Astyanax mexicanus: one gene and its partners. The protein of the gene in region 3 interacts with the protein of the main gene of each other region in a biochemical or structural test. Links are inferred from orthologs where the notes say so. Each region holds a gene or a part of one and is shown on either strand. Other genes may lie near its edges.

The links.
Region 1: the proteins of snta1 (region 3) and gda interact in a test that uses a peptide from one of them, tested with the Homo sapiens proteins (2 studies listed by BioGRID and IntAct). The link is inferred for Astyanax mexicanus from reciprocal best matches to the Homo sapiens genes SNTA1 and GDA.
Region 2: the proteins of snta1 (region 3) and abcc4 form a complex in vitro, tested with the Homo sapiens proteins (2 studies listed by BioGRID and IntAct, with this or other methods). The link is inferred for Astyanax mexicanus from reciprocal best matches to the Homo sapiens genes SNTA1 and ABCC4.
Region 4: the proteins of snta1 (region 3) and wwtr1 interact in a test that uses a peptide from one of them, tested with the Homo sapiens proteins (2 studies listed by IntAct, with this or other methods). The link is inferred for Astyanax mexicanus from reciprocal best matches to the Homo sapiens genes SNTA1 and WWTR1.

What each region holds. Positions count from the first base shown.
Region 1 is NC_064429.1:8,214,663-8,221,740, reverse strand, and holds the start of gda (guanine deaminase), read left to right. Parts: upstream 1-4,077; 5' UTR 4,078-4,124; coding exon 4,125-4,229; intron 4,230-7,078. UniProt on the Homo sapiens protein: Catalyzes the hydrolytic deamination of guanine, producing xanthine and ammonia.
Region 2 is NC_064412.1:55,549,215-55,556,606, reverse strand, and holds the start of abcc4 (multidrug resistance-associated protein 4), read right to left. Parts: upstream 3,021-7,392; 5' UTR 2,830-3,020; coding exon 2,756-2,829; intron 1,214-2,755; coding exon 1,103-1,213; intron 1-1,102. UniProt on the Homo sapiens protein: ATP-dependent transporter of the ATP-binding cassette (ABC) family that actively extrudes physiological compounds and xenobiotics from cells.
Region 3 is NC_064412.1:8,278,687-8,286,201, reverse strand, and holds the start of snta1 (alpha-1-syntrophin), read right to left. Parts: upstream 3,010-7,515; 5' UTR 2,939-3,009; coding exon 2,656-2,938; intron 1-2,655. UniProt on the Homo sapiens protein: Adapter protein that binds to and probably organizes the subcellular localization of a variety of membrane proteins. May link various receptors to the actin cytoskeleton and the extracellular matrix via the dystrophin glycoprotein complex.
Region 4 is NC_064423.1:915,807-923,514, reverse strand, and holds the start of wwtr1 (WW domain-containing transcription regulator protein 1), read left to right. Parts: upstream 1-4,702; 5' UTR 4,703-4,969; coding exon 4,970-5,382; intron 5,383-7,708. UniProt on the Homo sapiens protein: Transcriptional coactivator which acts as a downstream regulatory target in the Hippo signaling pathway that plays a pivotal role in organ size control and tumor suppression by restricting proliferation and promoting apoptosis.

The DNA of each region.
Region 1 (7,078 bases), on a different chromosome or scaffold from region 3:
ACCATTGACACAGAGACACAAGAACAACAAACTAAATAAACCACAATAACCTAAATAAAAGTAGGATTTGATCTGAAAACATTTGCGTGATTGGTTTACTGATAAAATCACCATATTTAGCTGCTCTGAGTAGAGACTGCTCCACAATTTCATTATGTGTAACATCACATCATGAGGAAAAACAGAATAAAAGTAAATGTAAAATTAAAGTTACCATGTCTTTAAACAGCTGTAACATAACATTTAGTGGTATAAAGTGCAGCTGGAGTCACTGTGCATCGTTCACTATTCACTATTCAGCGCACTTTGCACAAGGAGAGGCTGTTAGGAGAGAAATGCAGAAGAAGCCTTTTTTGAGCACACGCCACAAACAGAGTCACTTCAGGTATGCTAAAGCTAAAGCACATTTAGACAAGCAGCTTCATTTTGGAATAAGGTTCTGTGTGTGGACTGATGAAACTAAAGTTGAGTTAGTTGGAGGGCGGTTATTTATGCATGGAGGAAAATAAACACAGCATTCCAACACAAACACTTTACTGCTCCCCACAGTAAAATTTGTGCCGGTTCCATCATGCTGTTGGGCTGTGTGGTCAGTGTAGGTACTGGGAATCTTGTTAAAGTTGAGGGTTGCATGGATTTCAGTCAATATCAGCAGATTCTTGAAAACAATGTTGAAGAATCAGTGAGAAAGTTGAAGTTAAAGCACCGGGGCTAATGGATAATTCAACAAGACAATGACCCTAAACACCCTAAACACTGCTCAAAATCTACTAAAGCACTAAAGCATTCATACAGAGGAACAAGAACAACGTTTGGAGGCTGTTATTTTTGCATTTTGTCATTTTTCTGGGTGCCCAAATGTATTCATTTGTCTAATTTTTGCACACTTTCTGTAAATCCTATAAACTTCATTTCACTTCTCAATTATCACTGTGTTCATCTGCTATATGATATATTTAACTAAAATTGCTGATCCAAACAACCAATGAGTGAAAAATAAAAAAAGTGTATGTGAGGGAATGGGGGTTGGGTATTGACGAAACCATTCACTGAAAGACTTATGTTGAAAATATGTTGGTGTTACACCCATGAATTACACACAAAAGTTTAGCCACGCCCACAACTGCTTACATTGTTCACTAATTGCTGGTGCATGCTTATCAAATTTTGTTTGGGTGGGATTCTCCTACCTTTCCTATTAACTCCTGGCACCATCTACAGTGGCGTAAAAAAGTATTTGCCCCCTTACAGATTTCTTTTGTTTTTTTTTTTTCATTTTTGTCATACTTACATGTTTTAGATTATCAAACAAACTTTATCAGACAAATATAACCTGAGTAAATATAAAAAAGTACTTTTAAAATTATGATTTAATTTATTAAGAAAAAAAAAGCTATCCAAACTGTAATTAATCACGCTCAAATTTCACTACTAACCAAAACCAGGACTGATTACTGCCAGACCTGTAGAATCAAGAAATCACTTCAATAAAACCTCATGACAACATGAAGTAGATAAAATACCTCAAAAAGCAACACAACATGGAACAGAAAACATGGAACACTGGTGAACCTTCCCAGGAGTGACCGGCCGACCGAAATTACTCCAAAAGGGCATGAAGAACTCAGGATCTCACTAAGCCTCAGTTAAGATCAGTGTTAATAATTCAATAATAAGAAATAAGAGACTGAGTAACTAGTTTATAAATGAGTTTAATAATGTTATTAATTGGGTCATAAACCATTAATAAGCAGTTATAACACATTAACAGAAAGGGCAACAGTGGCCTACCATGTACCAAATAGGGATTCCACATTTGTTTATACTTTTAAACCTCAGATTTTACTAGATGCTTATCTTACTTTGCTTTTTCCATCATTCATCATTAACATTTAATAACAATTAACATTAAATGACTAAACTGACCTTCTATATTATTTAATTAGATATGTTAAAAAGGTCATTTTCACTGTCATTTATTAAGTGTTTATGAATGTTTTTACAGTTTTTACAACATAATTTATAATCATAAATAAAGTCCTTTCTAAACTATTTATAAATCCTCTATAAAAGAAGCCCTATTTTAAAGTGGTACAAGTTAGTTTTGTTTTTTAATAAGTATAAAAAGGTTATATTGATTCAATAAATTATTATTGACTATACCTTACATTTTTATATTAAAAAATCATGCTGGTTTAACAAGAATACATTATTACTTCATTATGTGCATTAATGATAGAAATGTATATATTTTTCAGTGGTACTTCTTGTGAAACCAGTGTTTCCAGTTCCCATCCAACACCAACTTTATCTTTGATCAAAATGAGAACAAACTGTTCTCTTTGAGAAGCTGGGTCTTGAGTTTGATACATGAGATTCACATGAAGATCCTTTTATAAATAGTTTCGGTTCTTATATTGAGATTTACTCATAAAACATTGAGAAACTCTGAGGATCTGTGAACACTGAGGGATTGACCAACTTTGGAACATTACACGTACACAGTGACATGCAAAAGTATTCATCCTTTTAATTTTGTTTTTTACATTTTGTCACCTTACGACCACAAACTTAAATGTATTATGCATGGTTTTCAAAATTTCAAATAAATTAAAATATGTAAAGTGTGCCTAGAAAATAGAAAATTTAAATCACAATTAAATACATTTGAATTTGTGGTGGTAAGGTGACAAATTATGAAAAAGTTCAAGGGGTATGAATATTTTTGAAAAACACTCTACAGGTAATTGATCATGGGTAAGAACTATTTAAGCATTTTAACGAACAAACCTTCTTTTTAAAAGGTGGAACCTCGAATCCCAGTCATGCAGCTTGCCATTGGCTACCAGAGCCCTGAAAGAGCACAGTTGGCCTTGCTCTCTCTGGGTGGGTACGGTAGATGGTGCTCTTTCTCCTCATCACTCCTAGGGTGATGTTGATCAGCACAAGTCTGCGTCTTGTCTTCACATGTATCGGAGGAGGCATGTGTTGGTCTTTACCCTCCTTGTGTTGTGGCATCACAAAATTCAATGTATATATATTTACTATGCTAAAGTTTTAGGCACCAAAGCAAATTACACTAATCCATTTTCTCAGCAATATGAGTGTTTTCACATATAAAAAAGCACCACATATGATTTAAACAGATGCAAATAAACACAAATACAGGAAAACGTAACAAGAAATTCTCATTTTTAACTATAAGTATATTATATCCTGTGAGCCGAGCTGAAGAACAAAGTATAGAGATTCCAGATTTCTCCTGTATCCTCCTGCTCAGCCAGCATGTGTATATTATGTCCAGTTCCGTCAGCAGCACACCTGATTTACCACATTTACAAATTTACCAAACCAGGTGTTGATTAATATGATGAGAACTAGAAATGTAACTCTATTAAACTCAGATTAGGAGAGACTATGAGATGATTTAAGGAAAACTGTAATAGTTGAACACTGCTGATGCTGCATAAAACTGTGCATAGGTACTTGATCATTAAGAGGAACCCATTAACCATCAATGTCTTTAGTCTTATAGAAAAATTAAGTTTAATATTTTTAAACAGTGGAAGATCCACTGAAACACTTTTAAACTTTTAAAACCATTTGAAAAACCTAAAGGTTCTCTATAGTGCTCTGAGCAATCACTTAACCAGAAGAAGAGCTTGTGTGTTTGAATGTGGTTTTCTTTAGAAATATCACATTTTCTTTCTTTTTGTTTTAATTATTTTTATTGCAGATTTTGAAGGATAGAAAACAAAAACTCACAGAAAGATAAAATAACATGAAGTAAAACAGAAAATAATGGTGCAGAGATTAAATAATGATAAATATGCCAATATAAGGAGATATACCAATATAACATAGAAAACAACAACAAAAAAATACAAATTAAAAGCCAATAACACTTAAAATTCACTTAAAATTACTTTGTCTAAGGAACCTTTAAAGAACCCCGTACGCGCCTGTGATTCCCCTCGCGCGCTCCCCCGCGCGCTTCCCTCGCGCGCGCTCCTCCTCCTCTTCCGCTCGCGGGTGGAGCGTCAGTATCTGCGGGTATAAGAGCGCGAGGAGACGCACCTGCCCGGGAGAGCGCGCGCACACCGCGGAAAGGAGCACGAGACAGCATGCCGGTGAGCTGCGTGTACCGGGGGACGCTCGCGCACTCCACGCGGGACACTCCGCTGCAGATCCTCGAGGACTCTGTGCTGGGGGTGGATCACCGGGGGAAGGTGCGTAAACACGCAGCGCTGACCTGCAGCACGTGATTAATCATATATACATATATAACTATATAACTAAATATCATGGTTGAAATATGGTAAACAAAGTTAAAACAACATTTAACGTTAAATTGTGTTAAAATATTAACTTTGAATCAACATCATGTCCTCAACCTTCTGCTTTTTGAATTAGAATTTAACATTTCATCACCATATAATTTCTAAAAACGATTGGATGAAGGAATGAAAAAGTGGTTGCAAGTTTTAGGTGCAAATGTTGAATTTAGGAAGTCAGGACACTTATTTCATCATCTTTACGTAAATATAAGTTAAGACTACTTGATGCAAACAGCTCAGCTCTACATAAAACGTACACACCCCTGTATACAGTATATTTTGGAAAATAAGATAAATGTAACCATATATGATGTACCAATAGTTGAATACAAACATACATACTGTAGGTATTAATAAATATAACCACTACTTTTTCTAAAAAGGGGCTATAAAATACCTGATGCAGCAACTGTATAACAGAGAAATAATTTTTAAAAAGAAAATTAACTGTATTTACTAAAATAGTTAAAAAATACTGAATTTTTTAAACATCGGTTTTTCTGTATCTCCTGTCAGCTGACTGTCAGCTGCAGATGTCTGTTCTTATTCTTAGACCACAGTGTATACAGCTCAGACTCAGTAGGCCAGAATATTAAAATTTTATACATTCAAAAAATGTTATACATCTGATCAAATGCATCATGGGATTGGTACTTAAAAATATGTGTCACAAATAACTTCTAAAATGATTAAATTGTTAAGTAATGTCTAAACTAATTATTAATTGACACTTGTAAAGACGGTACTTATCACAGTTTACATGGTATAAGCTACCGTCATCTTTCACCTAGGGCACTGCGAGCTAGTAATGCTTTAATAAAAGAAAAATTGCCTATAAAAGCAACGTATGCAATAGAATCATTGCAATAAACTTAACTAATAGAGATTTTAAAGAATTTAAAGAACATAAAGTTTTAAATACGTAATTAATTACAGGGAACAAATTACCTTAAATGATTTTAGTAGACTTAACTTATTAGGGTTTACAGATTGAACCTACAGGCCACTGTGGTTGGCTCTATGGCTGGGCTTATTTAGGTTAATTCTAGTGTTATATAGAGTTTGACAGGGTCAATACTGCACAGCACTGTATACTCATGAGGCCTAGATATACAAGACAGCTCTCTTTCTGTACAGATCATACAGTGAGACTTTAGTCTGTGGTCACAGCGGCTCTGCTGCTGAACTTGCTGGAACAACAGTAAAGTGACTTTGACCTTAGATATCAGCCCAAACAGTCTACTTTACCACTGCGTGTTTCTGAGGACCAGCAGCTGTGTGCTGAATTCAATATGTATTGGAAATGAGGGTTTAGGCTTTATTATATTCAAGTATGTGTATACCTGTTACGGTAATTATTACATATATATACACTTATAGTATAATAATATATGGGTGTAACCCTAATATAAAACTGGACTGAACTCTACACTGTTCATTATGTTTATTTGTTGCATGAATTTTAGCAGAGAGGTTGATTTTAGTCAAAGTTAAAAGTGCATTTATGGTGTCACGACTGGCTCTAGGCCGTGACAAATGAATGGAAGACACACAGTGTTTAAATGGCAAAAAATATAAATTTAATGAAGAAATTAGAAAAAGGTTCATGTCCAGACATTTATAAACAAAAAGGCGGCCCAAAGAAAACCTATGTATCAACAAAAAACAACTAAAGCATAATGTCAAACAGAACCAAACCAAGCAGGCCCAGAAAACTGAGCTGCCTGCAGCAAACAGAACAAAAGAAAGGCCTCCCGCAGCACACCTACACAGGTGCATATATTGATTAGGTCTGTAGCCCCACCCCCTAACACCCAATCAGGGGACAGGCACGTCACACACCCCCCCTTAAAAAAAAAAAAAAAAAAAAAGAAAAAGAAAAACAGAACTCCAACAGCTTTGATCCAGTCCTGCCAGCTCCATGTTTCAAGTCCACTCCACACAACCTCCTCATTCACCAGTCTCCACCAGCAACCCTGGCGCCTAGGAAGCAATTTAAGGTAGAGCCAAGAGGGAGAGAAAGCAAAAGAGCAAAATTAAAACACTGGAGAAAAACAAGACAGCAGCCTGAATTTATTTACCCAGTGGACCACGGGACAGGGCATCAGCAATTACATTATCCTGGCCCTTGATATGCCGTATGTCTAGGTGGTACCCCTGTAAAAACAGACACCATCTCATCAATCGCTGGTTCGGATTCTGTAAAGAATGCAAAAAAGTCAAGGGGTTATGATCAGTATACACTAGCCGTACAAGCCGTACCCACATAGACCTCAAAGTGTTTCAGGGCCCAAATTAGGGCCAAAGCCTCCTTTTCTATTACAGAATAATTCAACTGGTAAGAATAAAATTTTCTTGAGAAAAAACCAACAGGGTGATCAACCCCATACTCAGAAGCCTGCATCAGAACTGCCCCAGCACCAACATTGCTGGCATCAACCTGCAATTTAAAACACTGATCCAAACGAGGTGCGGCTAAAACTGGAGCGACTGTTAGAAGTAGCTTTAATTCCTCAAAAGCTTGCTGACAATTTGGAGTCCAATCAAACTTAACTTGATTTCGTAGCAAATTAGTAAGGGGTGCTGCCACTACTGAGAAATTTCTGCAGAAGGCACGGTAGTACCCAACCATCCCAAGAAAACGCATCAATTCTTTTTTTGTGACTGGAGGAGGAAACTGGTCAATAGCTTGCACTTTCGACTTCAACGGGCACACTTTTCCCTGCCCCACAACCATTCCC
Region 2 (7,392 bases), about 47 Mb from region 3:
GCACATATGATTGATGAGTGATGGGCGGATTATGATTAGAGGAGCAAGAACACATACTAGACAGTCCAGCATGTTTAAAAATGGCTAAAAAAGTTAACTGGCTGTTTTTTCGCTAACTGAGACTAACCGAATAAACTACAAATAAGTTGTAACTCAGATGTACAAAAAGATATAGCAATTTTCCACTACATTTCTGACATTTTCCTTGACAGACTGCATTAGACCCTGTGTATATACTCTGCTGCCCTTTAGCTTTTGGGTTTTCTGATGAGTAACATACATGTAATAGATGAAATAAGATAAAAGATGATAAGTCCTGAACCCAACAACAACCATGACAATCTGATACTGGCTTAACATGGTCCAGAAGCACAGCATAACACTGTGTTCATGGTTCATGTTCTATTGCCTCAACTGCCAATTGCCAAATACTCAGACTGACAAAGAAAATAATCCAATACTGTGAGAAGGAACAAATAAAAACCCTCCTAAGCCTGGGCTCAATTCCTTTAACCATATCAAACTTTATTGCATTTCTGGTTTGGGTAGCATTAGCTCCTGGTACTCTTCCACATGAAGCCCCAGCAGGTGCTTAAGTGAACTGATTGTATTATCCGACGCAACCATACTTCCACCCTTGGCACACAGGCTCTACAAACATTACAAGCGTCTGTTCCTTCATTACATGTCACACACACATGCTATAGATGTCAGTGCAACATGTACTGACAGTGTGAAAATGCTTCCTTTCCCTGCAGCTCCCATTCCACTAGCCTTATAAAAACAGCTCTGAGGTGCCGCATTAAGCAATAACCTTGGCATGCATTAAAAACCACAGTATTTAGTAACACTATTCACACTTCACCACCATAGACTTTGAACATTTAATAGGACTGACATTTCCAAACCAAAATTTGGTTAGCAACTAAATGGACTGACAGGAAGTATAACCTTTGTACCTCCCAATGTAGTTAGTAAACACAGCAAGACATAAACAAATCAAGACTTTATTTAAGAACACATGGATAAGCAGAGCAGCTCAGTATTCTAAGCATGGGTGATGTTTTTTGTGTCCTGTGTACAGCTTTATTTGTTTACATACCTCTGAAGTTCCCCTCCCAGTCTCTTCGACTCGTCCTCAGGAAGCACTTTAAACATGTCATCTTCCTCAAGTTTTCGTTTGTATCCAATGCGAAACAGGGGGTTCAGCCAGCTGAGTAAAAAAAAAAAAAGAGAAGGAAGACACAGCACAGGGCTTCCCGAAACTGAAAGTGAAAATTCTCAACAGCAGCAAAGCTAGCAAAAAAGCCAATGTTTCACAATGTAAAATGACCCACAGCTACTGTTTTTGTCTACGTTCTTATTAGATAAAATGATGAGATGAAACTCAAGTTCAAATGCTGCTAAAAACGGCAGCAAAGGGAAACAGCTGTGCTTTTGTGAGATGTTTACTTTCCTGTAAAAAGGTCAACAGCAGGCAGGTTAGCTAGTTAGCTAACTAATAAAAAAATACATCTGAAATAAAAAATGACCTTTCTTTTCATTCTATCTTTTTCTTTTATTCCATTCTCTGGTGTTTTAGGGCATTATAAAAACATAGTTATTTAACTATTTAGCTAGTTAGCTAACTAGTGATTCTAGGTGATTCTCTTTAGGAAAGGATCATCAAGAGTCAAGCTGACAACCAGCAACTGTAAAGCTGAACAACAGCCAGGTAAGGTAACTAATAACCTACCCAGAGAACCTATTTGACTAATTTAGCAAATACAAAAATAAATCAGCACTAATAGCTAGGTAACTATGTATTTACTATAAAAAATACATTAGCTACTAGACTTTAGTACTTTAGAAAACTTTAGAATTTTGTATTTAAAGGCAGTGGGAAAGTGCCAGGTAGCGTTTTTAGTTATTAATGACATTTTTATAACATTATTAACGTTGTTAAAGGCTAGCTAAGGTGAGTCCCTATAGGAAAAGCATAATCAAGAGTCAAGCTGACAACCAACAATAACCTACCTAGAGAACCTATTTAACCAATTAGCTAATTTAGCTAATACAAAACTAAATCTGAGCACTAAAAGTTAGGTAACTATGTATTTACTATAATAAATACATTAGCTACAGATCCAGTTTAGACTTTAAGACTTTGGAAAAGTTTAAACTTTTGTAGTTAAAGGTAACGTAGTGGAAAATTTCAGGTAGCGTTTTTAATTCTGAATTACATTTTTATGACATTATTAACATTGTTATACTTTAGCCCTACAGAAAAAGCACATGCATGCTGAGAACCAAAAACAACTTTATAGACAGATAACTTTAGTTAGGTTATGTAGTTAATGTCAGTCACTGGATTTTGTAGCCAAGAGGGGAGGGGGATCACGTGTGTGAGTAAATAAAAATAAATGAATAAAAATAGTAACTACAGCCTGCACTGTAAACGTTAACGTTACTTCTTTTCCTTCTGCTGCTGCTGCTGTATGAGTAAGCTAGCTTTTAGTTTAGCTAATCTGGCTAGCTCTTGCTCATTAGCCTCTGCTAGTAGTTAGCTAACCTATAGCTTATTAACTTTAATTAGCTAATTTCCTCAGTTGAACTTCCTGACATATGTTAGATAGGTTATGTCCAGGTAAAATAATTCCTCAGTATTTATTTTATAAAGGTTATTTCTTCCCCAGTAGCCTAAAACAGCCTCCATACACACTTAGCTAACCTATATAAACTCTCACAGCCCGCAGTAACCGGCTAGCTCACTCACCAGAACAGTATCTGAGACACAATATTAGCAGAGGCGGCCGGATTAGTCTTCACATCTTTGCCCACGGGCTCCATATCGATTATTATCCGCTCCGGAGCTTCACCCGCTCATCCGCGCGCTGCCTCGCTCACTTTCCTCCTCACTTCTGAACAGATTCCTCATAAACTGTTGTGTAACTTCCCCGCGTGCACATGGTAATCAGCAGGTGACGGAGGCGCTCGCGCTGCTGCTCTCGCGCTGCTGCTGTTGCATCGTAAAGACAGCCGGCAGCGCTGTAGATGAAGGACGCCGCCCAGCTGCCCGCGAGGGCGCAGCTCGCTATCGGCCCAGGGCGTGTTCCCTCGCAGCCCATTGGTCCATTGTCCCCGAGGTGCACATTTCCAGGAGCCTGGAGCTGTCACTGCTGCACAACAGAGTGTAAAGTGTGTACTGTTATCATTAAAAACAGCTTAAAATTGTGAAATACCATCAACCTTCACCTTTTTTTTATCACTTTTTTATCAGTCAGTTCTGTAGTAAACTGACTGATAACTGAGAAAAGAAGCACTTCAAGGACAGTCCATTCTGTAGGAAAAAGTACATTTGGGACAAAAGTAGACAAAAGTCATAGCAGCATTTAATAACTAAGCGTTTATCTAGAATTAAAAGAGAAAATTAATTAATTTAGTTATTTTTTTTATCTTTGATTCATTTTATATTGTATTGCTAAAGAGAGCACACTGAATCTCGATGTCCTTGTAAAATGACATTAAATGTTGTACATTGACATTAAACGTCATTGTACAAGGACATTGAGATTCAGTGTGCTCTCCTTAGCAATACAATATAAAATAAAACAAAGATTTAAAAAAATGTAATAAATAAATAAATAAATAAATATTGGTCTTTTTTTCCTTTATTGATCAATTTCAATGTTACATTAACAAACATTCTTTATTTTTTAACAACTTAATCAACTCCCCCAAGCTATCTAACCCCCCTCCCTAGCCCCCCCTAAGTGGTTCCTCAGGTGTTCATGATGGTTGCTATGGTGTTGCTATGTGACACCAATAAATTCTATCCAACAAATTCCTGATATTTGCTTATTTAGGAGTATTTTATTCTAATCCCAGTATGATGATTTCATCATTGCCATGGGAAATACATCACAATAATACTGTATTGTGAGATGCCCTGTGATTCCCATCCCTAGAAGGGGTGACAGGAACCAGCCTGACAGAAATATGAAACAGAAACGTGATTTAATATTGACCCAATGTAACTACAAATCTGATTAGACGTTGCCTTTGAAGTCCTTGAGCTCAGATTGTGCTCTCTCCAGTGTTTTAAATGTGGAAGATGTGGAAGCTATTTTACATATTTACTGTCATTAAGTATAGATTTGTTCCAGTCAAAGCAATAATATAAGTCAATGTTTTAAGATAAACATGTTAGCAATTATTTATAGTATTAGTGTTTAGTACACAAGTGGGCCACAGATATTGTTTGTGCCCATTTTTAAGTGGTTCCTCTATCCCACACATCATTTACCTCATTAATAATTAACAAATCTGTCACCTATTGGGTCAGGTGTGTTAGAGTATTGGTCTCCAAACCTGGTTTTAAAAGCAGGCCCACTGCCCATGACTACTGCCTGAGAGACAGAGATACCAACATGTACGGGGTTCCCAGGACTGCCTTAGGTGAATATATGAAACAACTGAGCTAAAGGATATTCCCTTTGAACAGTTCTCATTTTAGGTTTAGAGCCTTTTGATAAGATGTGTTTGTTAGAATTCTGCTTTTTGGCCACAAAACCAACAAAGAAGGGCATTGTAAGTAGAGCTCAGCATTGCAATGGCCTCAAAAAAAAGTTCAGTCTTCAAGCAACAGAAAAAAAAACCACACTGTGCTGCTGTGAGTGAAGAAATACCACATGTTGATCCCGCTCTCTCTCTCAGTACCAGCACAAAGAAATCAGAGAGCATTTCAGTCCATATTTTAGCTTTTTTACAACAATAAGTGTAACTTGCAGTAAGGGCTGACAGAAAAAGAATCGCATTAAAAATCACTCCTGCACTTTTTAATCCAGTTTTTCTGCTTAGATGAACAGGTTTAATTAAACTGCATGACCAAAAAAAAAGGTCACAAACTCTAATATTTGGTTGGCTCACCTTCAGCTTTGATTGCGGCACACATTCGCTGTGGCATTGTTTTAATAAGCTTGTGCAATGTCACATTATTTATTTTTAAATCCAGTGTTGCATTAATTTTTCACCAAGATCTTGCAGCAGCATTGATGATGGTAGAGTCTGACCAACCGCTGCACAAAGCAGCTCTTCTCCATCCAGCACATCCCAAAGATTCTCAATGAGGTTAAGATCTGGACTCTGTGGGGAACTCTTTCAATCCATGTGTGAAAATGAAGATCTCATGCTCCCTGAACCCTGAACTATTTCACAATTCCAGCCCCATGAATCCTGGCATTGTCATCTTGGAATATGGCTGTGCCATCAGGGAAGAAATATAAAATCCATTGATGGAATAACCTGGTCTATATTCAGTATATTCAGGTAGTCAGCTGACCTCATTCTATCAGCACATACTGTTGCTGAACCTAAACCTGCAGAGCAACTGCAGCATCAACCAACCCCACATAATTTACTTACTTACATCCAGGTGGAGACTTTTCTGACCAGGCAGTGTAGTTGGTGCACTTTATAGTGAATAGAGTACAGTTTTAGATATACTGTGACAAATACTGGATATTAGTAAGCTTTAGAGACCTGCATGGAAGTGGATGGAGCGGTACAAGCCATGCCAGTGTTTTGTTCTAGTCAATACTGCTTTCTCTCTCTTTCTCTGTTTTTCTACTTTTCTCTCTCGTATGTTCTTTATAGGTTATCCGTTGGCTAAGCCTCTGAAAGGGCAGTGCATGAAAGACGCACAATGAGAGACAGAACAGGTGGGCAGTACATTGATAAAGGGAATGGTGAAAGACACACACACACACACACACACACACACACTGTAGAAAAATATTCATGGGCTCAACGTAGCTCAGTCAAGTCAATATTACTCAGTTACGTTGTAAATACATACAATTTTATGTTTATTCAACTTCACTGAGTCAAATCTAAATGATAACAGATTAATCAGTTATGTTTATTTAACCTAACGGAGTTTTGTTCACAAAACAATAGTTTAATTAGCTCAGCAGTTTTGCAGGCTTAAAGAATTTAGTTTATTTAAGATATATATAGGTATTTTCAACATATTTAAGATATTTTTTATAGAACTGCCACTACTGAAAGTAAAACACATACTGTGACAACTAGGAGCACAGAATAGAGGTAACTTGCTCTTACAGCCTACAACACTGAGGCCTGGCAATCAACAAATATATTATACTAATGCACGACTAAGATAAGGTAGCCTTGGGCAACAGACAACACAAAGATGGTAAGTAAGGGAGAGGCCACACCCAATATGCAAATATATGGTGCCAGGAGCCTATGAAAAAAAAAGCTGTACGAACCAACACTGATGAAAATAGCATTGACACGTGTAGTATAACTAAAAGTTGGTTTAAATCATATTTTTTATTGATAATATTAGATAATATTAGATAATATTAGTTCTCCTGACTAGAACACAAAATCCCTTTTTAGAGTGCGCACACACACACACAAACAGTATGTGTTTAACACAACAGAAACATAGTGTTGTTTGTTTAGAATCTAATACTGACACCAAAATCCCCACTGTGAGGCGAGGCTGAGAGAGTGTGAGGTTGTGGTGAAGCTCCACAGTCTGAACAGCACAGGATCATTAAAAATGGTACTTTAAATTGTATCTGCAAATTCTGTGGCATTATGTTAGAAAGTCACTTTGTGATTTAAAACTCAAAAGAATTTGGGTTAGTCCATATAACAACTAAGCCAAGACCCAGAAATAAATCAGCAGACATCCGTGATTCAGTTCTGTTGAAATGCTGTGGTGTTACACTGCACTGAGCTGATCAACAACAGAAAGGGCTGCGGTTAAAGCAACTGAAAATAATTCCACAGTTCCACAAGTTCGTGAATATGAGAGTTTATATCTTGGCAGGATGATTGCAGTGCTCAGTATTTGGGTGGTAATACGTCTGAAATTATAATTATGACTCCAGGATTAGCCTCCCTCCATTACTTTCTATACCCTAAAGTAGGGGTGGCCAATAAAAGAAGATATATATTTTTTGAGATGATTATCCACACAGAAGACATGTTGACTTGATTTGTTTTGCCCAAGAATGCAAAATATTTTCTCTTCTTCATATGTTTTGGTCCTGTTCTAACTTTGAATTCTTTGCTGTAAGATATATAGGTTTTTGAGAATAATAAAAATAACTTTAAATAAATACATTTCTTTAACCCCTAGGCTAGCCATGTGTGGTAATGACCCTGCTTTACCAGAGAGTGAAGAAACTTCTTCTAAAGTTTATTAAAATGGGCTTAATTGCTGTAAACAAATGTATTGCAATATATAGACAACAACAAGAATAACAGGATAGAGGGTTAAACAATGAAGAGCTATGTCTAGTGTGTTATCTCCGTTTATATTATAAAGATTAAAGTGTCTTCTGCTAATGACCTTGTTATGAATGTTTAGCTGAC
Region 3 (7,515 bases):
AGTAGTTGGAGTACAGCTCCTATAACAGTGTAAATGAATGTATAAACTAGTTGCAACCAAAGTGAGTACATCCTTACATACAAACTCCCTTCCCAGTGTCATGTGACTCACTAGTGTTACAAGTTGTCAGGTGTGAATGGGGAGCAGGTGTGTTAAATTTGGTGTTCTCGCTCTCACACTCTCTCATACTGGTCACTGGAAGTTCAACATGGCACCTCATGGCAAAGAACTCTCTCTTTCTCAACTATGAGGAACTGAAAAAGAATTGGAGCTCTAAAATAAAGATGGCCTAGGTTATAATAAGAATGCGAAAAAGTTGAAATCAGGCTGCAGCATGGTTGCTAGGGCCATCCAGCGGTTTAACAGGACAGGTCGGCCAAAGACACACAAAAATATATACACAAATGTTTTCATAAAATTCTGTATTCTTACCAAACATCTACTGCTATTGACTCAGCGTTTGTCCTTGCTACTCGTTTTTAGGTAGTATCAACATGCATTCCAGGTGTCAGTGTAAATCTGTGAGCTATGGTCTAGAATCTGTGAGCTAAGCCCTACTGATCCACAAACATCTACTAGCAGAGTAACACTGGTAAAGCTCTACGGATGACCTTTCCATGTGAGAGCAATCCTTTTGCAAAGGGCAGTCAACTGCAAACATGAACTGCACACAGTTTTAACGTATTGTATTTGTCCTGTGGTTCATTTTGATGCATGGTTAAGTGTATATTGCTTTATTAATAACACATTAGACTAAGACCTATTAGATAAGGTTGTTCTAGTTAGTTGGAAGAAGACCTTACTAAGTTCTACTAAGTTTTTGTTCTCAGTTAAAGGAGGTAACAAGTCGTTAATTTTTAAACAAAGTCGTTTAGAATGGTTTGGTGTGAAATGCCAGTTGAGAAGCAACTTAAATGTTCATAGCTCTGGTGACAGAAACCAGACTTAATAATAGACTCTAATAAAAAAATTTCCCTTTCACAATGTTTTGCATTTAATGGTTGTGAATACAGTGCAACATGCCTGAGACACTGTTTAGCAACAGGTTTTAGATCAAATTTATGTTTGTCCTAAAACATATTTCAATTTTAACTTTTAGTCTGTGGAGAATTCATGGCAGGTATAATGAGGCCTAATAAAAAGCTTATAGTCTTCAGTTTGTAGTTTTTAGTTTTTTTACCCCCAATAGTTTCCAACTGGAATTCATTGATTTGTAGATTTTATAAAGCAGCTGGTGGTTTTGTTCGGTCAATAAAATTGGCTTTTTTTTTATTGGATTGATTATAATATCGCAACCCCTGGTCCCTGTCATTACCACCAAGTTTTATCTTAAAAGTTAGAAATTTCACTCTAGTCTACTTGATTTTGAATGATTTTGTCTAAGCTACAACTGTACATACCTTTTTAGAAAGAAGTAGAGTTAAAGGAGAACTATTGACTTTAAGTGTAGTAAAACATGATAAAAAGTACTTACATTTGATGAACAACACACCTCCGTTCTTCCGCAGCGTTCAGAGATCCAGAAATTGTAACCGTTTGTCCAAACTCCCTTCAGACAGGGTGACATTTGGCATAATTTTCCCCCTATAAATCGCTTTTTCCACCCCTCCTTGCTAGAATCCGGAAAACCCTGACATTTAAAATGAGGCATTAATAACTTAAAAAGTGCACAAGAAGCTTATTAAAAACCACCGTTTATATCCTATAACGCTTGCTTCAGCTTCGAATGCCGCCATCACATAGACATATATATATATACATAGATTCCGCACAGCCTGTCTGCCACGCTGCTACAATATGCGAAATCTAAGTATATATATGTCTATGTTATTTTCAGTTCAGTGATGGCGTGCTTGGAGCTGAAGCTAGCATTAAAGGATGTAAACAGTGTTTTTTAATAAGCTTCTTGTGAACTTTTTAAAGTTATTAATGCCTCGTTTTAAATGACAGGGCTCTCTGAATTCTAGCAAGGAGGCGTGGAACTACTTTGAGCTGGATAACGGTGGAAAAATCGATTTCTTATCGGGGAAATTTTTGCCCTGTGTCACCCAGTCTGAAGGGTGTTTGGACAAACTGTTAAAATGTCTGGATCTCATTCATCAAAGGTAAGTACTTTTTATCATGTTTTACTACACCAAAAGTCCATTTTACACCGGAGTTCTCCTTTAAGTATGGAAAACACGGTAAGTTGTTTTAAAAAAAAATCTAACATTTCTAAAAAATGTACAAGAAGTGTCTCTAGATTTCTTTCAAAAAGTGTGTGACTGTTAAGAATACATACTAAAAGCTGTCATTATAAACAACCATAAATCCTGGATTGGACTGATTTACCGACTTCATTTGCTGCTATAGCTTTTCTATGGGGAGCTACACATACTGGACAAAGTTATATCTATTAATATCTGTTTCAGTTGAAGCCTAAATCTGTTTTAAAATGTAAATATAGTCCTTCTGACCTTCCTTTCACACTTATTGCCCTTTAACAAGCTGCTACTTCTTTACTTTCGCAAACAAAAAACAGTGTTTCAATGTTTAAAATAGTTTCTTCATAGTTGCGCCACATTTTGGTTTGCTCAACTTCTTCACCGCATCGTTTAGTGATATTCTGAGACATTGGTAATAGTCTAGCTGAGTTTTTCTTTTGAGAGATCTTACCTTTAATGCTGATTCCGAGTCCCCCGACGTCCTGCTTGGTGACCCTCACTGTGCGCTTGACGCTGCTGATGTGTTCTGGGACAGAGGGGCAGCACAGGCTGCTCGGTTCCCCGTTCAGAGGCGCCGGGGCTGGGGCTTTGCTCTTAGCCGGCTCCTCGTTGGCCTCGGCGGGGCTCACGGTGAGCGCGTCCCCGGTCAGAGCCGCCAGGACGCGGCTCCAGCGCTCCACCGCCACGCGCAGCTCCAGCAGCCCGCTTTTGGGAGCCTTCAGCGCGGCCGCCATGTTCACCACGCATTCCTGGAATACCACAGCACGGGCTGGCAGTCCCGTAAAGAGATAGGGGTGGAGAGAGATGCCCAGAGATAGACTCCAACCCCCTCTCTCTCTCTCTCTCTCTCTCTCTCTCTCTCTCTCTCTCTCTCTCTCTCTCTCTCTCTCTCTATCTCTCCCTCTCTCTCTCTCTCTGGTTGATCTCCTAATTGAGATTTAACCAAGCCTGTTCTGTTAACCCCTTAGGCTAAACAATACATGCACTGTAAAAAAATCCAACTTAAAAAAGTTTTAATCAATATTTTAACCTCGTTGATTAAGCAAAAACACATTAAAAGGTAGGGCTGTGTTCCAATTGCATGCTAAACACTACTATAAGGTGCAGTATATAATATATACTAATCTTAATAGTGCGGTTTTGACTGGTTAGCACCCCAAATGTTAATGTATTACTTTAGTATTAGTATTAATTCTGCACTAGAGAGAAATCCCCAGAGATAGGTTAACCCCTTGGGCTGAACAATACATACACTGTAAGTAAGTAAGTTTTAATACATTTGTTTTACCATGTTCATTAAGCAAAAAATAAATAAAAACTAAAGGCTGTGTTCCAAATGCAAACTAAACAATACACACATTGTAAAAATCAAACTTGAAAAGTTTTAATCAACATTTTTACCACGTTGATTGAGCGAAAAGCCATAAAAAGTAAGGGCTGTGTTCCAATTGCATACTAAACACTACTATACACCACTATAAGGTACAGTATTTATCCTTTTTTGTTTTCTCTTGTTGATCTTCTAATTGACATTGACCAAGCCTGTTTTGTTAACCCTTTGGGATACACAACTTAAGAAAGTTTTAATCAATATTTTTACCATGTTGATTGAGCAAAAAGCCATAAAAAAGTCTGAGCAAAAATACAATAAATTACAAATTGAAAAACACTGTAGTGAAAAGTTGATAATGAAATAATGAGTAGCCCAGCTTCATTTGCCCATTTCATTTGCATTCTGAAATACATTGCTTTAACCGACTCACAAGTAATGCTTTTAAGAGAAAGTTGCTTTCTTCAAATATTAATAATTTAGTATTATATATTAGACCTGCATTGCACCTATTCTCTTGATTACATGGAGTAGCTGGAGTTGTAGTGCAATGTATAAACCACACTTTTACCCTTGACGCATTACTTATCTTTCGCATAAATGCGTCTGCAGTGGAAAAATCCTGTTTTTACACTGGAAGCGTAATGATAATGGTGGTCTGAGAGGTGCTTGGCCTAGGAAAAGGGGGCAGGTCAACCAAATAAGCAGGGGTTGATTGCAATTTGTCAACGTGGTGGAAAGTGTTTTGTTTCTATAGAACAAAAGGAAATGGAACTACAGTGTTCATGTATACTAAAGTAATTGATAGGTACCAATCATGCTTGGAGTGCATTTCCTTCATGGACAGTTCTATGCATGCATTTCTGGACAAGCTGAGAGATATGGTGGCATCTGAAATTATGTGAAGCATGTGGACTTAGGGGGTAGAGTAATATAACAGAAAATTATTACAGAATTTTACACAAATATGATTGCATGACGCAGTTCTGGAAGAACACTTTAGACTGAAGCAGTAGTGCTCCAGTCTAATGGGGCAATTCTGTTACAATCAGTGGGCCCATGAGCCCACCATAAAAGAACAAACAGTAGAGAAACACAGGATGGTAAATATGCTTGTAAAAACGTGTGTCACTCATTTACTAATTACACTGTTTGCACTGTTACCTTTGTTTAAGTTTACTTACCCAACATTAATGGTCCACTGTAATATGTTAAGGTGGTACAGAATGTGTCTATTCAATTAATTAATATTCAATTACTATTTTATGTTGCCTGGTTTAAACAACCCCTCTATGAACCGTACTAAAATTATTTAATTAAATAAGTAGGCTGTGTAAAACATTGTAACACTACAAATTGTAACACTATATTTAAACTCACCCTGTCCCGTGGAGACAGTACTGTAGCTTTGTTAGCTCTCACTGCTGTGAGAATAAAGAATCATTTCCAACTAATGCAGTATAAAAGGTATAAAAGGAGATTAAAACAATATCTGTGTAAATAATGAGCCCTCAGTACATGGGCCTTGATTACAACTCAGTAATCAAAAAAAGCTATTTTAAGGTACAAACAGTCCTCAGAGAGAATCTTAAAAAATAGCTGTCCAAATATGGTCAAACTCCACAGACAATGTTTGTATGGGAACAGGAGAAAACGAGCAAAAGCAGGTTCTACTTAAAATGTGTCTACAGAGGGAGTTTAAAAAGCAGGTAAACTTTAAACTGTTCAGAAGAGGATTTTAGTAGAAGGTATGTTGTGATTGGTTTTCTTTATTTTGAAGCTGTATCATATATATATATATATACCCTTGGATATATATCCATTTTCCCTTTCTGTTTAATGAGTCATAAAACACTGTCCCAATTGCATACTAAACACTACTATAAATTACAGTATATATTATGTACTTAATTTAATAGTGCATTTTTAGCAGGTTAGTACCACAAATATTAATGTGTATTAACAACCTGTCGTATTTGTTTATATATTCCCCTCCCTTTTTGCATTTATATACACTATATTGCAATAAAAAAAAAAAAAATTGCTCACCTGCACCTGTAGGCTTGGATGGAGCTGTTCGGACATGGAAACTCTCCATTACATGAGTCTCGCTACTGTTCTCTACTGTTGTTGATCTAATCTGAAGCTACATGAAGTTTGGAGGTGTGTAGTGATGTAGTGACTCTTCTGTAAATATTCTTTTCAATAACCATATGTACTTTTAAGTTTTAGGTTTTTGTGACTCAGAAAGGGTTAATGTTTTTAGAATGTTCTATCAAGTTTTCTTGATTTTTAATTAAAAAAAATTAAGCATTCTGGTAACATTGCTGCAATGTCACTGGTATCAATGTATTAATTTATAGTTTGTTTTTTTTTTTACATTTCTGTAATGTTAGTATTTGTCTATTTGAGAACACTATGGGATAAATGTTCTAATAATGATGCAAACTATTATTATGTCACATGTTTTCATAATGTTCCTGGAACCTTATTTCTGGAACTTTATAGTCTAACCTTCTTGGAACCTTACTAAATGTTCTTATGTTCACTGTTAGCTGGGTACTGTGTTTGGGAAGGCCTACACCTGTATAAGTTGTGAGGTACTATCTTGTAAAAGGGTGAGGCTGAACATTGGTCAAAGTGCTCAAGGCCAGACCTAGGGCAGCTCCAATCCAGATACTTTTAATCAGCAGAAAGCATGTTGTCTCTAGTAAAGTATAATCCAGAATTATACTAATTTAATCTATTTTAACTTTTTTCAGACTTTAAGTCACGTAAAATCTCTCTGACGTGTGGAGGCCGGTCGTTCGTAAAGAAAGACGCAGAGACAAGATAAGAACTCACTGTGTCCATCATCTGTAATCTGCTGGAGTCGTCAGACCGGAGCCCTCCATGGCCATCTAAGAAGGAAAACATGACGATATCTACTTTAAAGCCCATAGTCAGGAGACAGGAGAGGATCTGATTTATAACAAATAACAAATATAAAGAATTAGAAGTCATGCACTGTAAAATTGTCTACCTGTAATTTATTTTACTATATATTTTACAATTTACCATTATTATATTTACTTTTTATGTGTACAGTATTTTACACTGAAACAATGTTAAAGTTGTCTTTTTTCTGGCTTTTATTTCTAAAATTTCTGAAAGGCTCATGATCAGCTTTTCATTAGGACTGTAAATTATTCAGATTGTTTTATTCTGCGGTTAAACTTGATTCTCTTTTGGGATTGTAACAGTTGTATATTAGAAATGAGTGTTTTTAATGTTTTAATGTTGTTGCTGTGGTTAATAACCCAACAAATGTGTAATAATATAGTATAATAATGTAATTGAAATTGCTTTGTCTTTTTGGTCCTCCCCCACCACACATAGTTTACTTTTCCTTTTCAAAACCAGAAATCTGGCACCATGATCTTGGTAATAGATAGATTTTAATGTTTTATTATTATTATTTTGGTTTATTTGTTTGTTTCCTGGTCAGAGAGTTGTACAAAGTAGTTACACATAGTCTACAATATTTACTGTAGTTACAAAGTTTTCATTTACATTTATTAATCATTCTGATTGACCTTTTGGTCAAAATGTTCTTCTTATGATTCTGGCCACTTGTGGTGAAATCTCCTACACCCTCAGATGATCAGATCATTTGATTCGACCCCTTCAGGATAATGGCTTATGTAAGAATGTGATTTTCTTACTAGCTGATTTATTGAACCTAATCAAAATAAAATGTGACAATTTTGATAGCTTTGCAAGATTTGTACTTTTTTATTATAATATAAAGTTTACTCCTTAATAATAAAAAACATATTGCAATATATGAATATATGAATTATTGATTTTTTTTGTCTGCATTTTGTTCTATAATAATTATACATCTAATCCGATGCTAATTTTTAAATTGCCATAACAATTGTCTTAAGTTTTTTTGTGTTTTAAGAAGAGGAAGTTGGCGAATTATAAATATACATTATA
Region 4 (7,708 bases), on a different chromosome or scaffold from region 3:
ACCAGCACAGCTCCATCCATCTGTTATCAACCCCCAGAACCTACTAATCTAACCAGCACAGCTCCATCCATCTGTTATCAACCCCCAGAACCTACTAATCTAACCAGCACAGCTCCATCCATCTGTTATCAACCCCCAGAACCTACTAATCTAACCAGCACAGCTCCATCCATCTGTTATCAACCCCCAGAACCTACTAATCTAACCAGCACAGCTCCATCCATCTGTTATCAACCCCCAGCACCTACTAATCTAACCAGCACAGTACCATCTATCTGTTATTAAACCCCAGAATCTACTAATCTAACCAGCACAGCACCATCCATCTGTTATCAAACCCCAGAATCTACTAATCTAACCAGCACAGCTCCATCCATCTGTTATCAAACCCCACAACCTACTAATCTAACCAGCACAGCTCCATCCATCTGTTATTAAACCCCAGAATCTACTAATCTAACCAGCACAGCACCATCCATCTGTTATTAAACCCCAGAATCTACTAATCTAACCAGCACAGCACCATCCATCTGTTATTAAACCCCACAACCTACTAATCTAACCAGCACAGCTCCATCCATCTGTTATTAAACCCCAGAATCTACTAATCTAACCAGCACAGCTCCATCCATCTGTTATTAAACCCCACAACCTACTAATCTAACCAGCACAGCTCCATCCATCTGTTATTAAACCTCAGAACCTACTCATCTAACCAGCACAGCACCATCCATCTGTTATCAAACCCCAGAACCTACTAATCTAACCAGCATAGCTCCATCCATCTTTTATCAAACCCCAGAAACTACTAATCTAACCAGCACATCTCCATCCATTTGTTATCAAACCCCAGAACCTACTAATCTAATCAGCATAGCTCCATCCATTTGTTATCAAACCCCAGAACCTACTAATCTAACCAGCACATCTCCATCCATTTGTTATCAAACCCCAGAACCTACTAATCTAACCAGCACAGCTCCATCCATCTGTTATCAAACCCCAGAACCTACTAATCTAACCAGCACAGCACCATCCATCTGTTATCAAACCCCAGAACCTACTAATCTAACCAGCACAGAACAATCCATCTGTTATTAAACCCCAGAACCTACTAATATAACCAGCACAGCTCCATCCATCTGTTATTAAACCCCACAACCTACTAATCTAACCAGCACAGCACCATCCATCTGTTATTAAACCCCACAACCTACTAATCTAACCAGCACAGCACCATCCATCTGTTATTAAACCCCACAACCTATTAATCTAACCAGCACAGCTCCATCCATCTGTTATTAAACCCCAGAATCTACTAATCTAACCAGCACAGCACCATCCATCTGTTATCAAACCCCAGAATCTACTAATCTAACCAGCACAGCTCCATCCATCTGTTATCAAACCCCACAACCTACTAATCTAACCAGCACAGCACCATCCATCTGTTATTAAACCCCACAACCTACTAATCTAACCAGCACAGCTCCATCCATCTGTTATTAAACCCCAGAACCTACTAATCTAACCAGCACAGAACAATCCATCTGTTATCAAACCCCAGAACCTATTAATCTAACCAGCACAGCACCATCCATCTGTTATTAAACCCCACAACCTACTAATCTAACCAGTACAGCACCATCCATCTGTTATCAAACCCCACAACCTACTAATCTAACCAGCACAGCTCCATCCATCTGTTATCAAACCCCAGAACCTACTAATCTAACCAGCACAGCTCCATCCATCTGTTATCAAACCCCAGAACCTACTAATCTAACCAGCACAGCTCCATCCATCTGTTATCAACCCCCAGAACCTACTAATCTAACCAGCACAGCTCCATCCATCTGTTATCAACCCCCAGAACCTACTAATCTAACCAGCACAGCTCCATCCATCTGTTATCAACCCCCAGAACCTACTAATCTAACCAGCACAGCTCCATCCATCTGTTATCAACCCCCAGAACCTACTAATCTAACCAGCACAGCTCCATCCATCTGTTATCAACCCCCAGCACCTACTAATCTAACCAGCACAGTACCATCTATCTGTTATTAAACCCCAGAATCTACTAATCTAACCAGCACAGCACCATCCATCTGTTATCAAACCCCAGAATCTACTAATCTAACCAGCACAGCTCCATCCATCTGTTATCAAACCCCACAACCTACTAATCTAACCAGCACAGCTCCATCCATCTGTTATTAAACCCCAGAATCTACTAATCTAACCAGCACAGCACCATCCATCTGTTATTAAACCCCAGAATCTACTAATCTAACCAGCACAGCACCATCCATCTGTTATTAAACCCCACAACCTACTAATCTAACCAGCACAGCTCCATCCATCTGTTATTAAACCCCAGAATCTACTAATCTAACCAGCACAGCTCCATCCATCTGTTATTAAACCCCACAACCTACTAATCTAACCAGCACAGCTCCATCCATCTGTTATTAAACCTCAGAACCTACTCATCTAACCAGCACAGCACCATCCATCTGTTATCAAACCCCAGAACCTACTAATCTAACCAGCATAGCTCCATCCATCTTTTATCAAACCCCAGAAACTACTAATCTAACCAGCACATCTCCATCCATTTGTTATCAAACCCCAGAACCTACTAATCTAATCAGCATAGCTCCATCCATTTGTTATCAAACCCCAGAACCTACTAATCTAACCAGCACATCTCCATCCATTTGTTATCAAACCCCAGAACCTACTAATCTAACCAGCACAGCTCCATCCATCTGTTATCAAACCCCAGAACCTACTAATCTAACCAGCACAGCACCATCCATCTGTTATCAAACCCCAGAACCTACTAATCTAACCAGCACAGAACAATCCATCTGTTATTAAACCCCAGAACCTACTAATATAACCAGCACAGCTCCATCCATCTGTTATTAAACCCCACAACCTACTAATCTAACCAGCAGAGCACCATCCATCTGTTATTAAACCCCACAACCTACTAATCTAACCAGCACAGCACCATCCATCTGTTATTAAACCCCACAACCTATTAATCTAACCAGCACAGCTCCATCCATCTGTTATTAAACCCCAGAATCTACTAATCTAACCAGCACAGCACCATCCATCTGTTATCAAACCCCAGAATCTACTAATCTAACCAGCACAGCTCCATCCATCTGTTATCAAACCCCACAACCTACTAATCTAACCAGCACAGCACCATCCATCTGTTATTAAACCCCACAACCTACTAATCTAACCAGCACAGCTCCATCCATCTGTTATTAAACCCCAGAACCTACTAATCTAACCAGCACAGAACAATCCATCTGTTATCAAACCCCAGAACCTACTAATCTAACCAGCACAGTACCATCTATCTGTTATTAAACCCCACAACCTACTAATGCACTGTTTGTCTATACAGATCTACTATAAATGTCACTAAAATGTCCTAACAACAACTTATTTTTTTTTGCTCCTTTGTTGAATTAGTGTTATTATTTAGTATTCAATGTTTGATTTATTTTGAATAATAATATTTAATAATAATTAATGAATAACATTTTATATAAATAAATAGTTTTAATTAAACATTTCATTATAAACAATACTATTATTTTTATTTAGGACAGAAAAAATAAGTTTCGTACTGTTTAATTAAAAATACAATTGATTACTACTCATTTTATTAATTTTGTATAGTTTTATTAACGAATTAATTAATTACCATTGTTAATTTTACATCCAGTGGGGTATAAAATAAAGGTCTTTGCGAAAATTTGAATTTTATTATAAGAAAATTGGTCTTATATGTGCTTATTTTCTGAAACAGTAGATCAATATTCTACACTTTTATACACAGTCACATAATCTACCACCTGACTGAAATTAAGGAGGAACAGAAGATCTGAGAACATCATTTCTGAGCACAAGGTGGCAGAATAACATCTTCAGACAGAGAGAAGCGGATTTCTGCTCTTCTGTTCAGGCTGGTACATCACCGAATCCTTTAGGACACGTGAGGACGCAATAGAGGGCAGCAAATAAGGCATGTTTTCCGATATGTTTTTAAAACCCTCGTTGCCCTCTAGTTCTACTAGTGCTAAAAACTGATTATTACTTTTATGTAAAAAACTAGGTGAAACTTCGGCAAGTAAAAGGGATCCTCTGCACTGACTGCAAGTCATGTCATACATTGTTCTGTTGTCAATATATATATAATATACTTATATAACAATATAATATACTTTTTCGTTTATGTTTCAAATGCATTCATCTTCTTTTTACTATACCTTTTTATTTACCAATGTTAATCTTTATAATACTTAAAACATATCTTTTCAGTGTTTTTTGTGTCGTACTGGTTGTAATGGTTGTATTTTTGTTTTGAGTACATTTATATTAGCTGTAGATAATAAATATTTAGTCTAAATTGTTCAGATTTTCTTCACTAGACACTGGTGTAGGTTTGGCAGTTGGCTTGGGGCTATTCAGACTTTTTTATTACACGCTTAGAAAGTTTATACAATATACTTACACTAACACTCTTCAGTCTAGACTTCATTAATCCTTCTGTTACTAAATAGATTTGGAGCGACTTAAAGCGCGTGGTTAATATTCCGGGCGTGGCCTGATTAATATTCATGAGCGCGAGCTGACAGGCGCGCGCGCGCGGGGGGAGGAAAAAGTTCGAGTTTCCAAACTTTCCACCGAGCGGATTCTCCAGCAGCAGCAGCAGCAGCGGGACAGCGGGGCAGGAGGACCGGGCCGGATAACCTTCAAACTCTCATTTAAAACTGTTTTATTGTGTTTTTGTTTTGAGTTAAAACTTTTTTACACTAAAGACAGAAAATCACAGCAGCGCTTAGCCGCTGGGGAGAGCGCGGGTCGTGTTTTTGAGGAGAGAGCTCCAGCACTTCTTGGTTCCCCCCGTCCCAACTTTTCTGTTCCGCCGAGCGAAATGAGCAACAACCCGGTGCAGCCCCTGCCGGGCCAGCAGGTCATCCATGTGGCGAAGGACCCGGACACGGACCTGGAGGCGCTGTTTAACGCGGTCATGAACCCGAGGCCGAGCTCCTGGAGGAAGAAACACATGCCCGAGTCCTTCTTCAGGGAGCCGGACTCGGGCTCCCACTCCCGACAGTCCAGCACGGACTCGGGCAGCGGGCCGGCGCGGCTGCCGGTGCAGCACGTCCGCTCGCACTCCTCCCCGGCCAGCCTGCAGCTCGGCCCGGGCACGGGGACCGGAGCGGTCCCGCCCTCTGCGCACCACGTCCACATCCGCCACCAGTCCTTCGATGTGACCGAGGAGCTGCCCCTGCCCCCCGGCTGGGAGATGGCCTTCACTTCCAACGGCCAGAAATACTTTCTCAAGTAAGTACAGCTTAACTGATAGGCAAAGAACGTTAAATAGACGTTAAATCTTTGTTTGCATTACAGCTTGATGAGTTGATCATGGATAACTACATTTAAACAAACTTTATTTAACTTTCATCAATAGGTTTATTCAACATCATCAATAGGTTAGCTAGTTTTTCTACACTCACACTAAGCTACTATTAATAATATAATTGTTGCTACTTAAATGCACCTTTCTACACTTCAGCAGTAAAAATAATAGAAAAGTATTTTATCTCAAGTAATTTCAGACTTAAACACAAAGAACGTTTAGTAAAAACGTTCGCATCTCAACTTCTAGTGCTGATGATGGAAAAACAACATTAAAACAACCTTTTGTTTACGTTTGCACCATAGGCTTCAACAACAGGTTGGGTAGTGTTGGAATTCTGACGTTGAGGGAACGTTCATTTTAACAGCTAAAGTTTTGTAGGGTTTGGGCTGAGCTCTTCTACACTCACAATTAGCCCAGTGTTAAATGCATTTAGGCAAAATGTCCCTTTCTGCTCTGCAGTGTAGATTTAAGTAAAGTTTAACACGAACAACAGATTTAGAATCATAACGTTGAATTAGGGCTGGGTGATATTGTAAAAAAAAAAGTTCTTAGATAATTTAGTTTTTTTGTTTGTAAACAGGCAGCACCATGTAAGGTGACACAAAAGAAAGCTATTGTTTCCTTTAGATTCGTAAAAAAATCACTGCCACATTTAAGATAGAAGCAAGTCTATCTGAAATAAAATTGAAATATGAACGTTGATTCAGCATACTTTTGCTATCTGGCTACTGTTGTGTGATTGGAAACTTGAGCCTTAGCAACAGCTTAATGAGTTCTAGCAGCTTAGGGGGGGAGAGATTTGGCAACCTGTGGGGCCTAAAAACAAAACCTCAGGAGAACTGTACAGTGATTTACAGTGATTTACTTCATAACTAAAATGTAATTTGACCATCCTTGCTGCTGCCACATGTAGAAGACCTGTTCCATTTAGGTCTGCCTCACTTTTGTGGTTAATAGGGTTACAACTAATGATTATTTTAGTGGTTGAATAATCAGTCAATTATTTTTCAGATTACTCAAATAGTAAACGATTATTTCTGCTGCCCCATTCATCTCTGCTTCCTGTGGGTACGGCTCCTGTTCCTTGCTTTCTCTATCACTTCAAAACAATAGAAACCGCTGAATGTGGGATTTAGATGCTCTTTAAATGTTCAGATGATGTTTAAAGATGAAAAGTTTTGATGTTTACTCACTATGTATGTAATCTGTTGTGTTAAGTCACTTTTGGTGACTAAACTAAGTGTGAACCAAGTGAGTGAGCAGCACTTAACCTCCCCGTGTTTTTGTGTTCCTGTCCCCAGTATTTTGTATAGTGCATTTGTTACAAATTAGTTGAGATTTGAAATGTGAAATTCTTATAATCAACATTGTTGATTTTGTCATCTAACCATTGCTGGCAACTGAAAAGCTCAGAAGTGCTGTACTGTGATTTACTTTGCATTGTAATTTGCCACACATAGTCAGCTGTTCCACATTTAGGTTTCACTAGTGTTGTTAACACAGTTGCCCCAAATCTCCCCTTCTTTCTCCAGGGGAGAATGATGGGTGATGTTTAGGATTGAAACAGTAGTAATAAATAATATACACTCATGTCAGCTATAAGTTTGATTGAAGATCTGTGGTGTGCCCACGCAACAACCTAAGGACCTCAAATTCCGATTATTTCCGATGACGTGATTTCCGATTTCCAGTTCTCATGAGACTGGAGACTGTTTTTTCATGAAACAGTAAACTATTAAATCTGGTAGAAGTTTCACTCAAAGCCTCTATCACTGCAGTAAGGCAGCTGGTGGGTTCAGTTTGGTGAGTTTCTAAGTTGAATGAAACTACCTTAACGTTCTTTTGTCCTTTGGTGTTGTTGTAGTTTCTTGCTGATTTCTGGTCAGGTAGGCATGTCAGATAGAATCAGATCAAATAGATTTATATAGCATTTATTTGTGTTTACAACTAACACTGTAACAAAGCGGCTTTAAAAGTATACAGTATTAGGACAAAAGATCAATACTGTGCATTATCAGAGGTGAAAAAGTACTGAAGAATTGTAATTAAGTAAAAGTACATTTACTTTGCTAAACTTCTACTCAAGTAAAAGTAAAAAGGTACTCAATTTAAAAAGGTACTTTGAGTAAAAGTTACATAGTTACTTTTAAGTATGTGATGTAAAAAAGTACAACAAATAATAAATTAAATCGGTTTTAATGAACTATTAATTCCACATAATAATTTGGACCTTTCAGGCAGTATTTG